Caenorhabditis elegans: one gene and its partner. The protein of the gene in region 2 interacts with the protein of the main gene of each other region in a pairwise test. Each region holds a gene or a part of one and is shown on either strand. Other genes may lie near its edges.

Evidence for each region.
Region 1: the proteins of npp-2 (region 2) and F54E12.2 interact in a two-hybrid assay, tested with the Caenorhabditis elegans proteins (2 studies listed by BioGRID).

What each region holds. Positions count from the first base shown.
Region 1 is NC_003282.8:11,329,662-11,340,876, reverse strand, and holds F54E12.2 (Transcription termination factor 2), read left to right. Parts: upstream 1-4,012; 5' UTR 4,013-4,013; coding exon 4,014-4,082; intron 4,083-4,125; coding exon 4,126-4,677; intron 4,678-4,727; coding exon 4,728-5,452; intron 5,453-5,508; coding exon 5,509-6,510; intron 6,511-6,560; coding exon 6,561-6,673; intron 6,674-6,718; coding exon 6,719-7,064; intron 7,065-7,111; coding exon 7,112-7,423; intron 7,424-7,478; coding exon 7,479-7,635; 3' UTR 7,636-7,797; downstream 7,798-11,215. Other genes in the region: his-57 (Histone H2A), read right to left, coding at 86-465; his-58 (putative histone H2B 4), read left to right, coding at 771-1,142; his-56 (Histone H4), read right to left, coding at 2,044-2,355; his-55 (Histone H3), read left to right, coding at 2,614-3,024; sart-3 (Spliceosome associated factor 3, U4/U6 recycling protein), read left to right, coding at 8,006-8,089, 8,140-8,288, 8,339-8,507, 8,549-8,645, 8,690-9,087, 9,236-9,384, 9,444-10,045, 10,093-10,430 and 3 more.
Region 2 is NC_003279.8:8,285,946-8,295,756, reverse strand, and holds npp-2 (Nuclear pore complex protein Nup85), read left to right. Parts: upstream 1-2,116; coding exon 2,117-2,210; intron 2,211-2,256; coding exon 2,257-2,792; intron 2,793-2,844; coding exon 2,845-3,174; intron 3,175-3,398; coding exon 3,399-3,532; intron 3,533-3,599; coding exon 3,600-4,230; intron 4,231-4,279; coding exon 4,280-4,351; 3' UTR 4,352-4,458; downstream 4,459-9,811. Other genes in the region: Meiotic spindle formation protein mei-1, read right to left, coding at 1-263, 310-648, 699-875; kin-10 (Casein kinase II subunit beta), read left to right, coding at 4,943-4,960, 5,118-5,274, 5,325-5,516, 5,684-5,873, 6,406-6,556; phaf-1 (PHAF1 protein T01G9.2), read left to right, coding at 7,649-7,708, 7,753-7,893, 7,944-8,071, 8,303-8,477, 8,674-8,777, 8,823-8,935, 8,981-9,054, 9,103-9,164 and 1 more.

The DNA of each region.
Region 1 (11,215 bases), on a different chromosome or scaffold from region 2:
ATGGGATTGTCAGGTTTTTGGATATTTGTGGCCCTAAAGAGGGCCGTTGGGTTCGGTGGGTTTGTTTAAAGAAGAAAGTTCTTACTCCTTATCTCCTCCAGTCTTCTTTGGGAGAAGAACGGCTTGGATGTTTGGAAGAACTCCTCCTTGGGCGATGGTCACTCCGGCCAAAAGCTTGTTGAGCTCCTCGTCGTTGCGGACAGCGAGTTGAAGATGTCTTGGGGCGATACGGGTCTTCTTGTTGTCACGGGCAGCGTTACCGGCCAACTCGAGAACCTCAGCAGCGAGATATTCAAGAACAGCGGCCAAGTAGACTGGGGCTCCGGCTCCAACACGTTGAGCATAGTTTCCTTTGCGAAGAATACGGTGAAGACGACCGACTGGGAATTGAAGTCCAGCTCTTGATGAGCGTGACTTGGCCTTTCCTCCGGTCTTGGCTTTGCCTCCCTTTCCACGTCCAGACATGATGAGCGATTGGTGTTCGTAAGACGAATCTGAAGAATGAATCGAAACTGTCTGTTTATATTCATTTCTACGGTGGAGGGGCGGAGTTTCATGCGGGGACACCTCTATTTGAACATTCCGCACTCTCTGGTAGGACACATTTCTCTCACTTCTCTTTGTCCCCCTATTAACCTCGGTACATTCGGAATTTTGTGTGCACTCAGTAATGTGTCCCCGCGGGAAGCTCCGCCCCTCCACCGCAGTTTTTACATAAATAGGTGTCTCTCCAACCATTTCCTCATACTTGATTCAAGTTCATTCTCATCATGCCACCAAAGCCATCTGCCAAGGGAGCCAAGAAGGCCGCCAAGACCGTCGTTGCCAAGCCAAAGGACGGAAAGAAGAGACGTCATGCCCGCAAGGAATCGTACTCCGTCTACATCTACCGTGTTCTCAAGCAAGTTCACCCAGACACCGGAGTCTCCTCCAAGGCCATGTCTATCATGAACTCCTTCGTCAACGATGTATTCGAACGCATCGCTTCGGAAGCTTCCCGTCTTGCTCATTACAACAAACGCTCAACGATCTCATCCCGCGAAATTCAAACCGCTGTCCGTTTGATTCTCCCAGGAGAACTTGCCAAGCACGCCGTGTCTGAGGGAACCAAGGCCGTCACCAAGTACACTTCCAGCAAGTAAGCCATTAGGCTGAAAACTACCCCACCGAACCCAACGGCCCTCTTTAGGGCCACAAATCTTATAATCCTATGTTATTAACCAAGTGAATGAATAATTTTCAATTATACTCTTTCATAATTTTCAGGTTTTGCATTTTCCAAGTTCAGTTAATTTGAGATTAACCCAGTATTCATTTTCTAAAAGTCATTCTTTCAGAGAGAGAAATTCAAAGCATCTTCGGAATTCTATCTTTCAAATTGTAGATGGGATTCTTCGAATATTTCCAAAAACTTGTATTTCCGTAGTTTATGAAGTTGCACAGAGAAAGGGAAGCTAATGGCCGAGGCTTATAAAAACTTTCGGTTTTCAATCTTGTTGGAAAAATCTCGGGTCATCTCACAAAATTGGTTGAAAAATGTTATGAAAAACTATTACTACATCAAATTACAAGAAGTTTGAAAAAACGCTATGAAATAATTACTTGATTTCCGATATCAGGCGAGATATATGATTCAGGCACTGGTTTTCAGGCTTCAAGCTTTCTTCCGCTTCATGTTCTTGGATATCTAAATCATTTCGATCACCAACTTGAATTATAAAGTGAATTCATATGGTTCGGGAAACAAAACTGTGCAGACTTTCATATACCCTTTTGTAAATAAAATTGAGAACGAACGAAGAAAATCGAATACCGAATGTCTACTTGCATGCAATTCTAATTTTAAATTTAAAAAAAGTATGTAGTTGTGCAAAGCAATAAAGAAAATATCATGTCAACTTGTATTTGAAAATGCTAAAATAGAAAAATCAAAATTATTTAAGATTTATTTAACGAGATCAATTAGGATTTTGGATATTTGTGGCCCTAAAGAGGGCCGTTGGGTTCGGTATTTGGTTTGTATGAAAACAGAAAAGATAATAATTATCCTCCGAATCCGTACAGAGTTCTTCCTTGGCGCTTCAGAGCGTAGACGACGTCCATGGCGGTGACGGTCTTTCTCTTGGCGTGCTCGCAGTAGGTGACAGCATCACGGATGACGTTCTCAAGGAACACCTTCAAGACTCCACGGGTTTCCTCGTAGATCAATCCGGAGATTCTCTTGACTCCTCCTCTTCTGGCGAGACGGCGAATGGCTGGCTTGGTGATACCTTGGATGTTATCACGGAGAACTTTGCGATGGCGCTTGGCACCACCTTTTCCAAGGCCTTTTCCTCCCTTTCCACGTCCGGACATTGTTGAATTCGTTGAAGACTCACAAGTGAGATGAAGAAATGACATCACAGTATTCCTTTTGTACACAGCTGTGGTGGCTAGGCGGAGTCACATTGCACCACTCTGCGAGGACACCTTTCCTTTGTCTGTAACACACCGAATGTTCTAATTGCCACAAGGACAGAAGTGCGCCCGCCCGCCCTCCCACCGCAGCTGCGTACAAAGTCAGTCGTTGGTTTCTCTTTTTTACAGTCCCCACGGATTATCAACCTAAACGCAATGGCTCGTACCAAGCAAACCGCCCGTAAATCGACCGGAGGAAAGGCTCCAAGAAAGCAATTGGCCACCAAAGCTGCCCGCAAATCGGCTCCAGCTTCCGGAGGAGTCAAGAAACCACATCGTTATCGCCCAGGAACCGTCGCTCTTCGTGAGATCAGACGTTACCAGAAATCAACCGAACTTCTAATCCGCAGAGCACCATTCCAGCGCCTTGTTCGTGAGATTGCTCAGGATTTCAAGACCGATCTTCGATTCCAATCTTCCGCTGTCATGGCTCTTCAGGAGGCTGCCGAGGCTTACCTTGTCGGACTCTTCGAGGACACCAACTTGTGTGCCATCCACGCTAAGCGAGTCACCATCATGCCAAAGGATATCCAATTGGCCAGACGCATCCGAGGAGAGCGCGCTTAAATACCTTTTTTGGTAGTTGAGCAAGCTTAATCTCAAAACTTAACCGAACCCAACGGCCCTCTTTAGGGCCACAAATGCATAAATCCAGTCCTTGTGTAAAATAAAATTGTTTTCTTTATTTGTTTTTTGTATCATTTTGAAGGCCCGGAGAACCGAACTACAAATTCGTCAGAAGTTCGCAGATTTATAAAAAAGGTTTCGGCCCAATACTTATTTGTTTTAATGCGCCTCTATACATTAGTATTATGAAATTAGTATTACATTAGTATTATGAATTTATTATTGAAATAGTATTATGAAATTTATGAAAGGCACATTCAGGATCCATAAACTGAGGTGTCGCTGCTTGAAAATCGTATCTGATGTACTGAAAGTTGCAGGATTCAGATACGAAACCTGTTCAATCACAATTTGGGAAATAACTCGAGCCCAAAGTATGAATTAAAATTGATGATCTGATAAAAACTTCCGTATTATTTTCATTCAGCGTAAAATTGCGATTTAATATTAATTATTTATTTATTTAATTTAAATTAAAAATAAAATGTTCCAGTGAAAAACATGTAGGAACATTATGCTATTGGAGTCGGAGGTCTCGCAACGATTACAGTACCACGTTTGTTATTCACGGCGCGCGCGCGCGAAAAAATTATTTGTCTCTCTCTCGTGCTCTTGCTTGAAACGCTCTTGTATTTTTCTATTTTCAAACAAATTCTTGATCAAAATTAGTTCAAACATGGTAAATTTGAATGTTTATTTTAATTATTAACGCATCTGCGATACCGTTTTCTGTTTTGAAACAAATATCTTCATTTTATGTGGCAGAAAATGTTAGTTTTCCTCGGCCATTTGTGTTCCAATTTCACCGCCATTTTCAAACGTTGAGTTCTGAGTACATATTCTTTTCAAAGTTGGACTAAATTCGTGACCGTTTGTTTCTTTACTAGATATATATTGTAAAAGTAATTTTAATTCTGATTTCTTTCAGGATGAGTTCGCCACGTCGAACAAGAATAATGTTTGATACATCTTCAGACGATTCTCAATCAGATGAGAAAGTGGGTTTTTATTTTTAAAACGTTAACTGAGGACTAATTTCAGATCGATGACTTCATCTGCCGATCCAGTCCTCAACGCCAGTCAAAAGAAAGTGACGACCAGGAAGATTCAGTTGTCGATGAGTCGATGAAATCTGTAAATTCGCCTATTGTCAATACACCATCTTCAACAGCATCGCATTGCACAAATAGCTTCGCCACTTCGACGCCAAAATCCAAATCGAATGCTTCAACGAGACTCGGTTCTTCATATGGAAGTTCCAGAAGCTCCTCGCAAAACCACGAGAGCCATGATCGCAGTCGGAGTTTTGTACAATATGACGAGAACAAGCCACTGACTCCAATCAGCAAAAAACTGGCGGAATCCACTGATCTGCGATCAAAAGCTCAGCTTCGTGAACGTCTCCTCCGCAAATCATTGAAGCAAAATGCCGAGGATAGTTCGCCAACGAGAGCTGCATCTGGAGGTGGATGGGGATCGTCTGCTGACGTCAAGAAATCACCAGAAGTTTCCACTGGACTTTTTGAAACAGCTCTTTCTCCTATTGCTAAAAGTGATCGCCGTTCATCAGAATATAACTCGAGCACATTTTTGGTAGTGTTTGAATTCAATTTCATATTGGCGATTAATATAATAAATTTCAGAATGTCCAGAAAGTAGCTACTTCCACGGCAATAAACGATATTGGCGGAAGAGAAGAAATAGTTGATGAATCATTTCCTGCACCTCGAACAACGGCTAAACAAGATGATAGTGACATTATCGAAGTGACTCCAGAGAAAGTTGTTTCGAATGAAAAACGGAAATCAGGGATTGCCATTAACTTGGATGATAGCGACATTATTGATGTAACACCAGTAAAAACAACTTCATCGAGACCACCAGAGCCACAACGTCCACGACTGCCAACTTCGCCAATTAACTCGGAGTACGCGAAGCTTTCCTACAAAGAGCTTTTGGCGAAAAAGAATAAAGTTATGGGATTAATTTCGTTATCATTAGATCTACCTGATGGTGGCAGACGGGTAATTAAACAATTTCAAGAGCTTGATGATGAAGTGGAGAGAAGAAAAGAAATGGGACTTGCTGAAGAGATCGTCGACGATGATGAGGATGATGAAATCTTCGTGATTGAAGATGATGAACCGAGTCATCGACAGGTGGCTCCAAAGTTCCCTTCCGGATCTGTCATGACTCAAAATGGTTTGTTGCCAAAAAGACATATCGTGGATCCTCTCAAAGCTCCTCAGCCAGACTTCAATGCCATGTTGGAGAAGGACAACAAGAAAATGATGTCTGGAAAGATGACCGATGAAAAATACAAACGCATACAACTCGTTTCTGATCGAGTAGTTCGACAACTTGCTGAGTAAGTCTTGTTTAACTTTTTCTCGAAGCTGTGTGAAAATGTGTATCCTCTTTCAGGGCCACTCACACAATCCCCGATGAAACTGAGCTCACGGACACTCCGAAAGGATTCAAACTTGAACTGATGCCACATCAAAAGGCAGGCCTAACCTGGATGCGTTGGAGAGAAACTCAACCACAGCCTGGTGGAATTCTTGCGGATGATATGGGTTTAGGAAAGACGCTTTCGATGATTTCTCTCATCGCCCATCAAAAAGCTGCTCGTAGAGCTCGCAGAGAAGATGGAAATGACGATAAAGACAAAGAAAAACGTAAAGTGGTAAAAGAGCAAGGACTAATTCCGTCGAATGGAACATTGATTGTTGCTCCTGCAAGTTTGATTCATCAATGGGATGCTGAAATCGATAGAAGACTAGATGACAGCGTTCTATCGACATACATGTTTCATGGCACAAAAAAGCAGAGGGACATCGATGCAAGACGTCTTGCTCGATACGATGTCGTCATCACCACGTTCAATCTTATCGCAAATGAATTAATCGAAAAAATAAGGACTAAATCAAAAGCAGATGATTCATCTGACGGTGAATCGGATTCAAATCATACTGGAATTCGTAGAGCAGTTGGAAAAGACGACTCCGTTCTTGCTCAGATCTGTTGGTCTCGAGTCATTCTTGACGAGGCGCATACCATCAAAAATCGGCAGTCTCTTGCTTCGAAAGCTGTCTGTCGTTTATCAGCATTCTCTCGATGGTGCCTTTCTGGAACTCCGATCCATAACAATCTCTGGGATCTTTACAGTCTCGTTCGATTCTTGCGTATTCGTCCATTCAGTGACGATAAATATTGGAAAGAATCGATCATGCCAATGAAACCAATAATGGCTGATCGCGTAAATTTGCTCACAAAGAACCTGCTTCTTCGTCGTACAAAGGATCAAACATGTGCTGTGACAAACCAGAAACTAGTTCAGTTACCACCGAAAAATGTAGAAGTCCACGAATTGGAGTTGGACGGAGATGAAGCACAGGCTTATGAGATTATGATGGAGGCTGCCAAGTGAGTGACTCACTTGTAACATTGGCGAAAATCATAAAACAAATTTTCAGAAAATTCGTCAAAAAACTTCTGCAAGATTCCAATGATATGAAAAATCATGGATTTATTCCTCGTCGCAATAGAAGAGCAGGAAAGGAAGGAGAAGTTCAGAATCCTTTCAATTGTAAGAATCTGTGATGTTTAAAAAATTAATATTGAATATTTTCAGTTGGTCCACGTGATTTGGCAGCCGGCTCGAACTTCGAAAAGATGTCATGTGTTTTGATGCTTCTTCTTCGTCTTCGACAAGCTTGTGTTCATTTCAATATCACAAAAACAGGAGTCGACATGGACGCTTTCAGCTTAATCGGTGGAGACAATGCGGAGGAAGCGAATGTGGACGATTTGAATGAGTTACTGGAGAAAACTATGAACATGACGTTGGGAAATGGTGACAATGAAGAAAGAGACAAACCGAGGGCTACAACACGAATTTTCGATCCGGACTACCTGAGCTGTAAAATTAAAAATACACTTGAAATTGTTGAGAACATTATGGAGAAGAAAGAGAAAGTGTATGTTTTCACCAAGTTGAAAATAAATTCAAATTTATGTTTTTCAGTGTCATTGTTTCTCAATGGACATCGGTTCTCAATTTGATCGAAATTCACATAAAATCAAGTGGTTTCAAATATACATCAATTACCGGACAAGTTCTGGTCAAGGATCGTCAAGAGAGAGTGGACAGCTTTAATCGGGAGAAAGGTGGTGCTCGAGTTATGCTTCTCTCTCTGGCCGCGGGAGGTGTTGGGCTCAATCTGACAGGTGGAAATCATTTAGTGATGGTGGATTTGCATTGGAATCCGGCTCTCGAACAGCAAGCTTTCGATAGAATTTATCGAATGGGGCAGAAGAAGGATGTTTTCATTCATAGGTTCGTTGATTGCGGCAAGAAAATTAAATTCATAATATGTGTGTTAATCTTGCAGATTGGTTACGAAAGGAACGATCGAACAACGAGTTGTAATGCTGCAAAAGGACAAAGTCGCGCTAGCTTCGTCTGTTCTCGACGGAAATGCTACTCGCAAGATGAACAAATTGACGACGGCAGATATCAAGATGCTGTTCGGATTGAATGAAAAATAATCTTCAAAACTATTATTCCAGCCTTTATGTACAATATTATCATTCCTCACCCGCACACATTTCATTTCTGTTGTAAATATTCATTCAGCTTATGGATTGCAAAATTTTATTTATTGCATAAGTATTACCCGTGATTATTTCTATAAAGCTTGCATGGATTTGAATTTTTTGTTGTTTTTTTATCAGTTTGATTCTGGCTAACTATATTTTAATACGGAGAGAAAATATTTTTTCTTCTAAAAAATCCGTTTCTTTCGCGCTCTATCGCACTTTTGCATTCGAAACGTTATTTCCGTGCTTTTTCTGCACTGTTTCTCTCTTATTTTAATATTTATTGTTTTTGTATCAGTTTCCATCAAAATTCTGCAAGATGTCCGATGTGGATATGGAATCCGGCTCGGATGATTCCGGAATGGAGGATCTGGATGAAGAAATTCAAAAAATCAAGCAAAAGGTATGAACTAATTATCGAATATACTTCATATACACAAAATACAATTTCAGATGATCGACGATAGTCAAAGTGTCGTTCTTGCAAACCAATTATTGATTTTATTGCGAAAAAATGGTGACTTCGACGAGCTTGATATCAAAAGGAGGCAATTTGTCGAATGGGCCCCACTTAATCCATTAAATTGGAAAAACTGGATTGAGTAAGTTAAAAAAAATAGGTTAATTATAATTTTTTAAAAACTGATTTCAGAGATTTTCAAAACAGAAAACCGGAGCCAAGTGTCGCAGAAGTCGAGGAAATGTTTGAAAAAGCTCTGTTTGATGAGAACGATGTCACTATTTGGGTCGAAAGAGCAATGTACGCATATAAGGTTGCGAACGACAAAAACAAAAAAGAGGATTTCAAGTTTTGCCGAGATGTAAGTTTTGATTGAAAAATGTAATTATTATAATTTTACAGGTTTGTAGCAAAGCTCTTGAAAACCTTGGAACTCGGTACGATTCTGGAGGGCACATTTGGCTGATTTTTCTGGAATATGAAATGAGCTACCTGAAAAGTGAGCTTACTACTGTACTTTCATCAACAATTTATAATTTTCAGATTCTATGAATGCTCCTGACTATCAACGACTCGCTGATCAAGTTTTCGCTCTGTTCGAGAGAGCCCTTCATTGCCCAACAGATCAGCTCGAAGATGTTTATGTTTTAGCTGAACAATTCTGCACAGAATTCAAACAACATCATAAACTCGAAGAACTGAAAAAGACATATAATTCAACAATGCGACAGAAGGAACAATTGTCAAAGTTCGAGGAGCTCATTCAACAGGAAGAAACCAAAAAGCAAGGTCTGAAACAGTTTTTTGATCACGAGAAGAAGAGTGGAATTCCTAGTAGAATAAAAATGGCTCACGAGAGGCTTGTTTCTGAGTTGGACGATGACGAGGAAGCTTGGATTGCATATGGAGCATGGGCAGATATTGAACTTAAATTGCCACAGGTAAGGAAATACTTTTTATTATAGAATTATCGGAAATATCCAGAGGTCTGTCTAGAGATTATAATTATCTTTAAGATTCGAAAAAAATATTGTTGAATATTATTATTTTACTAAAGCTTCCATTGGATTATTGAATTATTTTGTTCAGGTTGCTGTAAAAGTGTACTCTCGAGCTCTGCGTCATTGTCCATACAGTTTTGTTCTCCATCAACAAGCTCTTCTCGCCTTCGAACGAGATCGTCGGCCAAATGAGGAAATTGATGCATTATGGGAACGAGCAAGAAGCAATGTTATCAAGTTAGTTTCTTTTTTGAATACATACAGTAGTCTTATATATTTATTCGGTGTAATTTCAGTTCTGCCGAAGAAGGACGGAGTCTTTACCGTACCTATGCTTTTTTGCTTCGCCGTCGAATTCATCTCACTGGTTCTTCGGATTACTCTCCAATGGCTGAAGTGTTTGATGAAGGTGCAGCGCTACTCAGAGAATGGTTTTCAATGGCTTGGGATACTACAGCAGATTATCGACAAATGCAAGCATATTTCTATGCTTCATTAATGAAGAACATGGACAAATGTCGAAATATCTGGAATGATATTCTTGCATCAGGATTCGGAAGATTTGCCGGAAAATGGATTGAAGCTGTTCGTCTTGAGCGACAATTCGGTGATAAAGAAAATGCTCGAAAATATCTAAACAAAGCTCTCAATTCTGTATCGGATAACATCAACGAAATCTATATGTACTATGTTCAATTTGAAAGAGAAGAAGGAACATTGGCTGAGTTGGATTTGGTTCTTGAGAAAGTGAATTCACAGGTTGCTCATCGAGCCATTCGACCACAAAAGAAAGTTTCTGAGAAACCAGCTCCAGCTCCTAAATCAAAGCAAGATCATATTCAGAAGAGAACGTCGGGAGGTGAACCAATTGTAAAAAAAGTGAAAGGAGACGACGGAGGTAAATAATTTTTAAAAGTAAAGAAGTTAATTTGAATTAAATTTTAGGATTCAAAGCTCCACTTCCACCATCCAATGCGAAAAGTTCATCAGCTGTATCCTCTTCAAATGCTTCGTCGACACCAGCTCCAGGTTCCTTTGCAGTTCAGAAAGCAGCTCCAGGAACGGAAGATGCTCGCACAATTTTTGTTTCTAATCTCGATTTCACTACGACGGAAGACGAAATTCGACAAGCCATTGAAGGTGTTGCTTCAATTCGATTCGCAAGAAAAGCGAATTCGGATCTTGTGCACAGAGGGTTCGCCTATGTTGTAATGGAGAATGATCAGAAGGCACAGCAAGCTCTCTTGAAAGATCGAGTTCCTGTGAAGGGAAGGCCAATGTTTGTAAGTTTTAATTTTACTTTATAAATATTTGTGAAATTTTAATTTCTGAAAATTCAGATCTCCGCCAACGATCCAGAAAAACGGGTTGGATTCAAATTCTCAACCACTCTTGAAAAATCGAAAGTCTTCGTTCGCAATGTCCACTTCCAGGCAACCGACGATGAGTTAAAGGTAATATATACTTATCTATCATTTTATATTCTAAATCGATACATTTCAGGCATTATTCTCGAAATTCGGTACAGTAACCAGTGTTCGACGCGTGACTCATAAAGATGGAAAACCAAAAGGAATCGCATTCGTAGATTTTGACACAGAAGCAAGTGCTCAAAAATGTGTTGCTTCTGGTGATAAATTGATGCTTCGAGAAAGAGAACTAGAGGTAGCGTTATCCAATCCACCAGTAAAAAAGGATAAATCGCATGGAAAACCAGCAGCAATTGGAGCAAGTTTGGAAGAAGATGGACCTAGAAAAGGACATGCTGCAAAACTGCAATTGGTTCCCAGAGCTATTAGTAAGTATATCATCTTTAGTTCCCAGCTTAGCATAAAAAAATCCATTTTCAGCAAACAAAACTCCTCAAATCACTGCTCGGCTGGACGCAATGGATGTTTCCGAAGGCACTTCAACGTCTCAGCCACTTTCAAATGATCAATTCCGTAAAATGTTTATGAAAAATTAGGGCCGTTTTTCACCAGAAACTTTCATTGTTCATATCAAGATTCATTTAGTTATTTAATTTCTATTACGTTCCCCAGTGTCTCCTTTCCAATTAAAATTCCGG
Region 2 (9,811 bases):
GTCGAGGAAACGGTAAAAAAAGTTGAACTAGACTCTGAAGCAATCGCACGTGCGATAAGAGTCTTTCCAGTTCCAGGTGGTCCAGCGAGAACCATTGCTTTCCATGGTGAACGGAGACCCTGGAAGAATTCTGGCACCAAGAGTGGAAGAGTGACGGCTTCGTGCAGAACTTGCTTCACGTCGTGCATTCCGATTATATCATCTAAAGACATTGTATTTTCCGTATTTGTAGCCATTGTACCACGCACCGCTTGAACAATGTACTGAAAAGATTTCTGATTTTTGTTTCTGGAAAACATAATAACTTACCGCATCATAAGCCGATGCATCGAATGAATCTCCAGCACTATTTTGAGGCAGTATTCCTTGTGTTGGATTCGCAGGCTTCACATCAGCCGGATTCGTGCTCATCGACGACGTTGACTTTGATATTTCTCTGGGACGTGGACCTGCTGCTCCAACTCCTTTCTTTGTTGCTCCAAATTTCGATGAGGATGGTAACGGTGGCGATGGTTTGGACCAAACATCTGGGTCTGCAGGTGGCTCTGGACTTCCACTTTGTCGCGTCATCGCCTCGTGTAGGTCATCTTCATCGCGCACATTTTGTTGGACAAGCTTCAAATTAGCCTCTAGGGCTCGTAGGAATGTCTGAAATTTCAAATAATTCAACAAGCTTTTAAAAGATTTATATTACGTACATTTCTTGCGTCATGCTCGTCTCTGTTGCTTGCCGAAATTTTACAGCTTTTGACATCTGTCATGAGCTGACGAAGAAGATCACCAGCCTCATTCCATCGTCCGGCATCGGACATTGTTTTCGCGACTTGGGCTCGCTCCAGATATCCGCGAATGACTGACTGCACATCCCCATTCATCCTGAAAATATACTTTAATTTTTCAATAATATACACTTCTACAGACGAGAGGATGAAATTTAGTATAAGACAATGGGATTTGGCGGAGAAGAAAATGGCAAGATGATGAATGATAACGAATAGGGAAACGACGGAACGGAGTGTGCGTGGACTTTATTAGATGGGAGAAGAAGATTGTACCGTGAAGATGAATTTAATATTATTTACAGAATAAAATGGTTGAATAGAAAACGATTTTTCTTTTTTTACTTGATATTGGCTCACTTGTTGGAAACATTGAAAGAGTTTAGCCGCAAAACAACAAGTATTTACAGCGGTAGATCACACAAAAAATGATAGGTCAAAAAAAGTTTTAGGAATTAAATCCTTAGCAAAAGGCTTGAAATCTGAGATCTTTCAGCGAGATATAAATGATTAGAACCTTCTAATTGCATATCACTTGAATAAAACCAAAATTAAGCGGCGAGTTATTGATTTTTCAGAAAACAGATTTCTGCTGGTCAAACCTCAGAATTAGCTCATCCGCGACAAACAATTAATTTACACAAAGCAAAAAAAAAAAAATTGATTAATAAAGAGAAGAAACAAGAGCAGTTTGAAAAGGAAATAATTGTTTCACTTGTTTAACAAAAAAAGATCATAAAGGTATAGACGAAATTTGTGTTGTCCGGAGCCAGTTTGATTTGCACAATTATAGTGTAACTTCTTAAAAGATATCTATAGAAAGCTTTTCATAAAAAGTAAAAAAATAATTGCTCAGGGCTCCGCGGAGCTGGAGCTCCGGAAGTATGGCGCAAAAGTACAAGTGTCGTCAGTTAAAATGTCGAGTACGCAATACACCCCAGACACTGTCACGTCTGAATGCACAATCGCTTGCAATTTGAACACTTTCAATTTTCGAATTTTAGCGGAATTCCGCGGAAAACTTTTACATTTTCTTAAATATTCTTCTCATTTTTTAGGATTATTATTATTAATTGGTTTTTTAAAACTGCCGTGTAGTCCATCATTGTACTGATTCGAGATTAAACGCGTTATTTTTGTTCAAATTCCGAGAAGAAACTCAAGAAACAAAAGGAAATTTTAAACCCTATGGAATTATCAAGTTAAAACCGTAAGAAGTTTTACAGAACTCCCGGAAAAATTTTATTTATCAGAAATCTCAATTTTATAAGTTAATGTTTCTACCGTGCTTACTATATTTTTAATACCACTTCACATGACATTAGTATCTCTTTCAGATGACGGATGTCGCTCGAGAATTCGGGATAGCTGTCAGCGACTCCTCCACGGTCTTCGCCTTCCTAACAGATAAAAAAGGATTTTCAAATAAAGGTAAAAATTGCATCTTCTTCAGTTTCCAACATAAGAGATTTTTCAGAAACAGTCTTGGTCGAGAAAGTTTCACAAAATCGACAAATTCTTGCGACACCAAATCTCAGACGACTTGTTATCGAAATGTATTCTGTATTTGATAAATGTCAAAAAGGCTCCTCACCTGATGCACCTCTAGACACGCCTACTTGCTGCACATTCTCTCGAGCTTATCGTTCAGTTCTCTACAATGCCGCCGTGTCTCACAGCAGTTCCGACTTCATGACAGACTTTGCTTTGTGGTCACTTTACGAGAAATTATGGTTTGGAAGAGGTGATAGCTCGATATGTGCGGATCTTATTTCATGGGCCAATCAGAGCTTCACGTTTTCTAGAGGAGCCATGGAATCAGCTGTGGAATATCTGCATCCGGGGAAGACGATTCCAGAAGAATATTGGAAGGGAGTAGCAGTCAGCTTGCTTAGTTGCAATTTCAGCGATTGTGTTGAACTGTTGGAGCTACATGGAGGCGGATCAGAATGTGATGCATTCATTGAGGCTCTCACATTCTTCAATCCCGAAAACTTAGTCGACGAAGCATTAGTAAGACCCATTTATATAATAATTCTTAAACTTCGTAATATTCTTATTTCAGGCTAACACAGTAAATGAATGGAAGGATATCATGCGTGAAAATTTGACAAGTGGGAAGTACGGGAGCAACGAAAATTTCAAATATCTTACGAAGCTCCTACTCGGTGAGGAACGATACCTCGTATCTATGGCTTCACGGATTTTCGACACGTGGTGGCATTTTCTGCCATTCTTTGTGCTTGTCAAGAATCCATTCGCCGGACATGTCGAGCTCATTGAGCTAGCTGATGAGTGTAGAACACTATTCGTTGGAGAAGAGGAAGAGGAGGGTGCAAAGGAAAATGATGTATTCTGGTGTCTTATTTCGAAGGATGATATTAACTTTCAACAGGTTCTTGTTTTTATTCAAGAAATTAAATTAAATATAAATATCTCTTGAAAATAGGCTCACTATTTCTTTCACGATTAATTAAACGGCGACAGAACATTTCATTCAATTTTATCCCAATAAAAAAAAATCAAAATAATGTTCAAGAATATTTAACAATTTTCTTCAAAATAAATTCTAGATTGTTTTAAATAAGAATTAATTAATTTTACTGAATAAAATTTCAGTTGATTGCCTCGAATCCCTGGCTCGCAGTTCACCTGGTTGATCTTATTCACAAATCCACATTGGATCCCGAGTTTGAAGTGATGAGGAAAATGCACATGTTGGACTACGCCAGTGTTCTTATCTCTCATTCTCCGTTAGTTTTTGAAATTTCTAATTACTGAAAAAACATTTTAAAATATAACTTCACAAATTTTTTATAGTCTGTGGGAAATCGGAGCCGGATATCTTATTGCGTGTGGTACCGAAGGACTTCTACGTCTCGAAACACACATCGAAGGGCTTCACATTGAGGATGATGAGATGGCTGAGCAGTTGCTGGAAATATGTGAAGAGCATCGACTGGAAGACGCGAAAAGTTGTGTGACAAATACAATGACTTTCCGGTATCTGAAGCAAGGACATTGGAGTTCAACACTCGCTTGGGCGTTGAAAACTGGATCCAAAAAGACAATTGACTGGACAGTATCTCGAATTGTTGGTTCAAGTTCGAAGGATGAATTGGCTGCATTAAGAGTTTTATCTTCAATAACCAATCATTCTGTACTCTCACTTCCATCTCTTACCTTCCTCTACTCTTATCAACGATTTGTGAAGATGATGCACTGTGGTGATGTACTGGACTGTGTTCAACATCTGATACCGCTTATTATGATGCCTGATGTTCCAACTCAGTATTACTATGATCTCTTCGATTATTTAATCACGATTATCAAAGAGGATGGGCGTGCTGGAATCCGATTTTCCAAGGAGATTCTCTATGAGCTCTCAACCTTTTTGTCAACGTTTACGCTTGATAAACATCGAGATTTGAATGATAATTATATGAAAAAGGTAAGTTTTATAGACATTTTTATGATCATATAATTATAAATTGTTACAGGTGAAAGTGCTCAAAAAGATGGTAATGCTCAAGTTGACAGACTCGATTGCGAAAGGAATTGCGTGCTCTTGAATAATTTATGAATTAATTTTATTTTATTTACATTTGCCGATGTTCTTTTTTGTTCTGGGATCTCAGAAAATTTAATTTTTTGTATGTGAATAAGGATCACATCTCTTAATTTTTTTACTATTACTTGGTTTTCCACACAAACTCGTTGAATTTCGAGGCCAACCTACCTTCTTTTCGAGTTTTCCCCAGAGATCGATAGTGACCTATGTGCTATGCAACCGTGCCCCATTGCACGTCCACAAGGCCTCGTCAGCTCCCTCGTCCTCTTTTTTCTGTTTCGACAGAAAACTGCTGGAGTTTATGAATTTATGTGGGCGCACATGACTGTGATCTATTGATTTTCTTCTGCTTTTTTCAATAATTCTGAACCATTTCACCCAACCTGTACCCATAATTTCAGGCAGTTGTGTGCTTTGCGCGCAACTCGGCCAGTCATCGACGTGAACGCCACGGCTTCTGCTCGCTGGCGCCAACTCGATTCCACTTCGGTGAGTTATCATTAAAATATTATCAAAAAAAAATTTCTTTTGATTACAGGCAGAGTCTGGTTCGCAGTCAGAACAAAGCGCTAGTTTGTCTGGATCAGAAGTCATGAGTAGTTCGGAGGAGGTTTGTATTATATTTCTATTTTCTGCGGAAAACAATCAGAAAAATCTAAATAGCCGTTTTTTTTAATGATTTATATTTTAAACTATGAATTTAATAACAAGTTTTATGGTCGATTGGTGAAATTTATTTTTAGTTTCGAATCTTTTTTTTTGTTCAGGTATCATGGATCACATGGTTCTGTGGCCTTCGTGGAAATGAGTTTTTCTGTGAAGTCGACGAGGAATATATTCAGGATCGGTTCAATTTGACAGGTCTCAATGAGCAAGTGCCCAAGTATCGACAGGCTCTTGACATGATTCTTGACTTAGAACCAGGTGATATTTTTGCTGACTTCATGTGCCCCCGCAATGTAACCTTTTTCTAGAAGATGACATAGAGGATAACGCAACGAACACTGATCTTGTTGAACAAGCCGCTGAAATGCTTTATGGACTCATTCACGCTAGATATATTCTTACGAATAGAGGAATCTCACAGATGGTCGAAAAGTGGCGTGATCATGACTTTGGAGTTTGCCCACGTGTCTACTGTGAAAATCAGCCAATGCTTCCAATTGGTGAGTTATAAAAAAATCGCTACTTCATTGGTTGCGGATAATTTTTTTTGAGAAAAGTGAAACTATAAAGTACTAAATTTTCCTAATTTAAAAGTGCATTTCCAATAAAATTTAAAACAAATATTTGTTTTTACACTAAAATTTCTGTAAAATTCCAATTTTTCCAGGATTGTCTGATGTTCCTGGCGAGGCTATGGTGAAATTGTACTGTCCACGTTGCAATGATGTTTTCGTTCCACGATCATCACGTCATCAACATACTGATGGAAGCTATTTTGGCACCGGATTCCCACATATGCTCTTCTTTGTTCATCCTGATCTGCGTCCACGCAGACCAGTCACTCAATTCGTTCCAAAGTATGTCAGAGGATATATATTAAGCTAAATATTTGAAAATCCGAAATTCTAATTTAAAAAATCTTTAAAATCTCGGCAATCGAGTAAATCTTTTCATTTCAGTATACCAATTAAACTTTTTGAATAAAAAATGAAGTAAAATATTTGCTTGATTCGAAAACACAACTTAATAATGTTGGAAAATTCAAAACGACTAGTGTCTGAAGGTTATTTTTTCGGCATTCGGCAACTTTCAGGCTCTATTTGAGATCTTTTTTCAAATATTTCAACAAGAATAAGTTGCAATTTCGAATCAATAAAATATTTTGACACATTTCTAAAATCATTTTTAATTCAAAAAGTTGACTTGGTAGACTGAAATTAGAAGATTTACTCTATTGCCGAAATAAGTTGGCTGTACTAAATTAGATTCGAAATAATTTTAGAAATTAGAAGATCAAACAATAATATTTTATCCACTTTAAAAATTTAGCAGAACTTAGTACAATAATAATTATGTTATGTGTAAATTTTTAAATATCAAAATTTTCAGACTCTACGGTTTCAAAATTCATCCTGTTGCTTATGGAGGACAGGAGGGAAACAGCGGCGGAAATACGGCGAATAACGTTGCCGCAGCACAAAACAACACGACTCCAGCCGGGCAACAATCTGGAGGACAATTCAATAATTATGGTCTCTGAGCCACTTTCTTCCTTATTTTTGTTTTGATTTCTTCTTTCCAGTTTCCATTCAGAATGTCCCCCCTCTCAACACAACATCCTTATTTTCTTCATTGTTTCGTTTTTTCTTCTCCCCAAAATTTTCTTTTCCGACAAAACTCAAGAATCCGGCGGTTCTTCCATGCGTGTTTCTCTTCTTTTCTAAATCTGTTCTATTCCAACATTATGCGAATTTAAGAAATGAATGAAACGGTAGATCCCATACATCTCAAAAAGAGTGTTCCTAATTTTCTGTGTAAAAAGTGCAACGTTATTTATTTGTGCCTGTCTTCGTCACGCGGAAACAGCTGGGCGGGAAAGTGCGCTCTACTGCAGTCTCTCAGTCACAGCCTTCGATTCTGCCATCGACGTCATGTGTTTCTTTTCTTTTTTATTTACTATTTGAACGGTTTTAATATCTCCAGTTGATTTGGTTAACGATTAGCACATTGATTTCTGCTTATTTTGAAATATTTCAAAATTACAATTTTTGAAAACGCTCCATATTTTACCTGAAGAAAAAACTTTTGAACAGCTTTTCACATTAATTCCAATATATTTTTAAATTATATTGCATAAACGTGAAATTTTGCGAGGAAAAGGCGATACCCCGGTCTCGATACGCCTTTTTTGTAAAATAAAAACGGACGTGTACCTTTATAGAGTACTGTAATATCAAACTATCGTTGCTGCAAAATTTTTATCGATTTTCAGTGTTTTTCGGTAAAAATGTATTTGTTAAAAAAAATAATAAAAGAAAACGACACAAAATTTTTACAAATCGTGGGAAAAAGTATGAAAAGTCGATAAAAATTCAGTAGCAATGAACGTTTAAAATAACAGTACTTCTTAAAGGCGCAGACCCATTTGTTTTCAGAAAACAATCGTCGCGCCCAGACCGGGTACCGTACTATTGGCGGAAAAAAAATTTAGAAAAGAATATACCAAGTAAATATCAGTTCTCAATTTTAATATATATTTTTCTTGTGAATCATAGTTTAAAAATTCTTCTTTGTTTTTTCTCCAACTCTTCAAAAATTAAATAAAAGCTTTTACAGCTTTGAATCATCGAAAATGAATGGAAAACAGCAAGTCACAAAGAAACCATCAACTGAAGAAGATCTGAGCTTCACGGTTTGTTTTAAAGTCAAAAAATCAATAATAAATATTTTCCAAAGAAATTCAAGGTTGTACCAGATGTTGGTCTAAAAAGTTCACAATTCGAATTTGTGCTTGGTATGCCAATCAATCAATGTATTGCAATGATTCAGCAACATCCAAGAATGCTTACAAAAGTCGAATTGAAGTACAGTAAAAAGGTATAGAAATTAACTAATTATACTTTTAAATAAAGTTAAATTAAATTCAGGATCCATTCTACCAGGATATCATCATCTATATCGGTTCTACAGGAATTCGTCTCTATTTTGATGGCCTTTCACAGCTTATCAAGCTAATTGAAGTGGATAATCTTTCAATGATTACACTTACTTATAAGTATGATACCATCAAAAAAAAAAAACTACAGAAGCTCGTTTAAAACTATTGAATTTAAAACAAATTATGGCGTTTTGAAAATTCGAAAAATTTCAGCCTTGCATAAAATCTGAAAATTGAAAATTCTCTCTGTTGAATTCGGTCGTTTCGGGTCATTGTGAAACTATCAAAGAAAAAAAATCAATTTCAATTGCCAAGATAGTCATACAATTTCTTCATAAAAATTTTCAGCGATACAATCTTCTCTGATCCAAATAACATGGCGACGTTGGATCGGGTCAACGAATTTTTTGGATCGACACATCCAGGATCATATGATGATAAGCACAATATCTATGTGCAAAGTTGGCCGGGATTATCTTTCTGTTTCCCATATGGAGGAGAAAATTCGAATTTGGAAGTCAGGGTACTGTAGTTTGATCTTTTTGGGTATTAAAGTTGGAGTACCGTCTGTGGGTTTTTTCGAATCAAAAATACGATACCGAATATAGTAAAAAATTAAAAGAGTTTTTTCTAACCTACAGCCGCTACTTCACCTTTAATTTCCAAAAAGTTTTTTATATCTCCCAAAAACCGAAATTTCAAACATTCTTCAATTTCAGCCTGGATTTGGTGGAAATCTTCGTTCGCTGAAATATGATGCCAACTCTCAACCAAAACTTACCAAGATGTCCATTTATCGTGGACCAAATCCATCTGAGCCAGAGTGAGAATTTATTATTTATTTCTATTTATTTCTCAAAATTTGAAGATCCGTGGATACTCCATTCTCGTGTTATTGTGGTCAAAATCGGACGAGAAAAGTCGAAGCAATTTGGGAAAATGGGAATATTGTTGGAATTGATATTCAATTTGATACTCAAAGTACTGGAATTTTTTGAAATTATTAAAAAAAGTGAATATTTGCAGACGGAAGAATTGTCGATGGAGAGTATGATGTATCCACGTACACACGACAAATCTATTTTGGAGACTCTGTTTCGGTTGGTTTTCTCAATCAAAAAAATTTGTTCTAAAAATTTAAATTTTAGGATGTGCAATCGATTCTTGGAGCCCCGACAAAGGTCTTCTACAAGTCCGATGACAAGATGAAGTACGTTCTCGTTCTCTTGAAAATTCAAATTCTTTTCTCACAAATTTAGATTTATTTTCAATAGATGTTGAATTTTCCACTGAAAATTTAAACAATTTTTGAAGAAAAATTTTCTTAAAAAAAGTTGAAGGGTTTCAATGTAAGCGTTTTATATCAATTAAAAATAATTCATATAGCATTTTGTTGATATTCAGCAATATCCAATGAATAAATTAAAAAATTGTGAAAAAAGTTCTTTTTTTTCAAAATGCCTGAAATTTATTTAACAACTTTCCAACTAATATTTAAAAAGGATAAATTTTGAAAAAAAAAGTTAAAAGATTTCAGAAAATTTCATTAAAAAAATATTTAAAAATTCAGGAACGCCTAAAATTTCTCGAAAACTGAAGTTTTTAAAATTTAACCATTAACAGTTTCTAGCTTTATCAAAATTTCCGCTTCATCTGAATATTGAAAATTTCCAGAATTCATCGTGGACTTCACAAGGAGACACTCTATGGACCACCAAATTTCTTCTTCAACTACTTTGTAATGGGATTGGTAAGGTTTTTAGGGATTTAGATTACTGTAGCAATTCTTGCTATTGGGTACTATATTTTGTCTGTCAATGAGTCGAAGTTAATGTTCCAATCCCTTGTAATTGAACA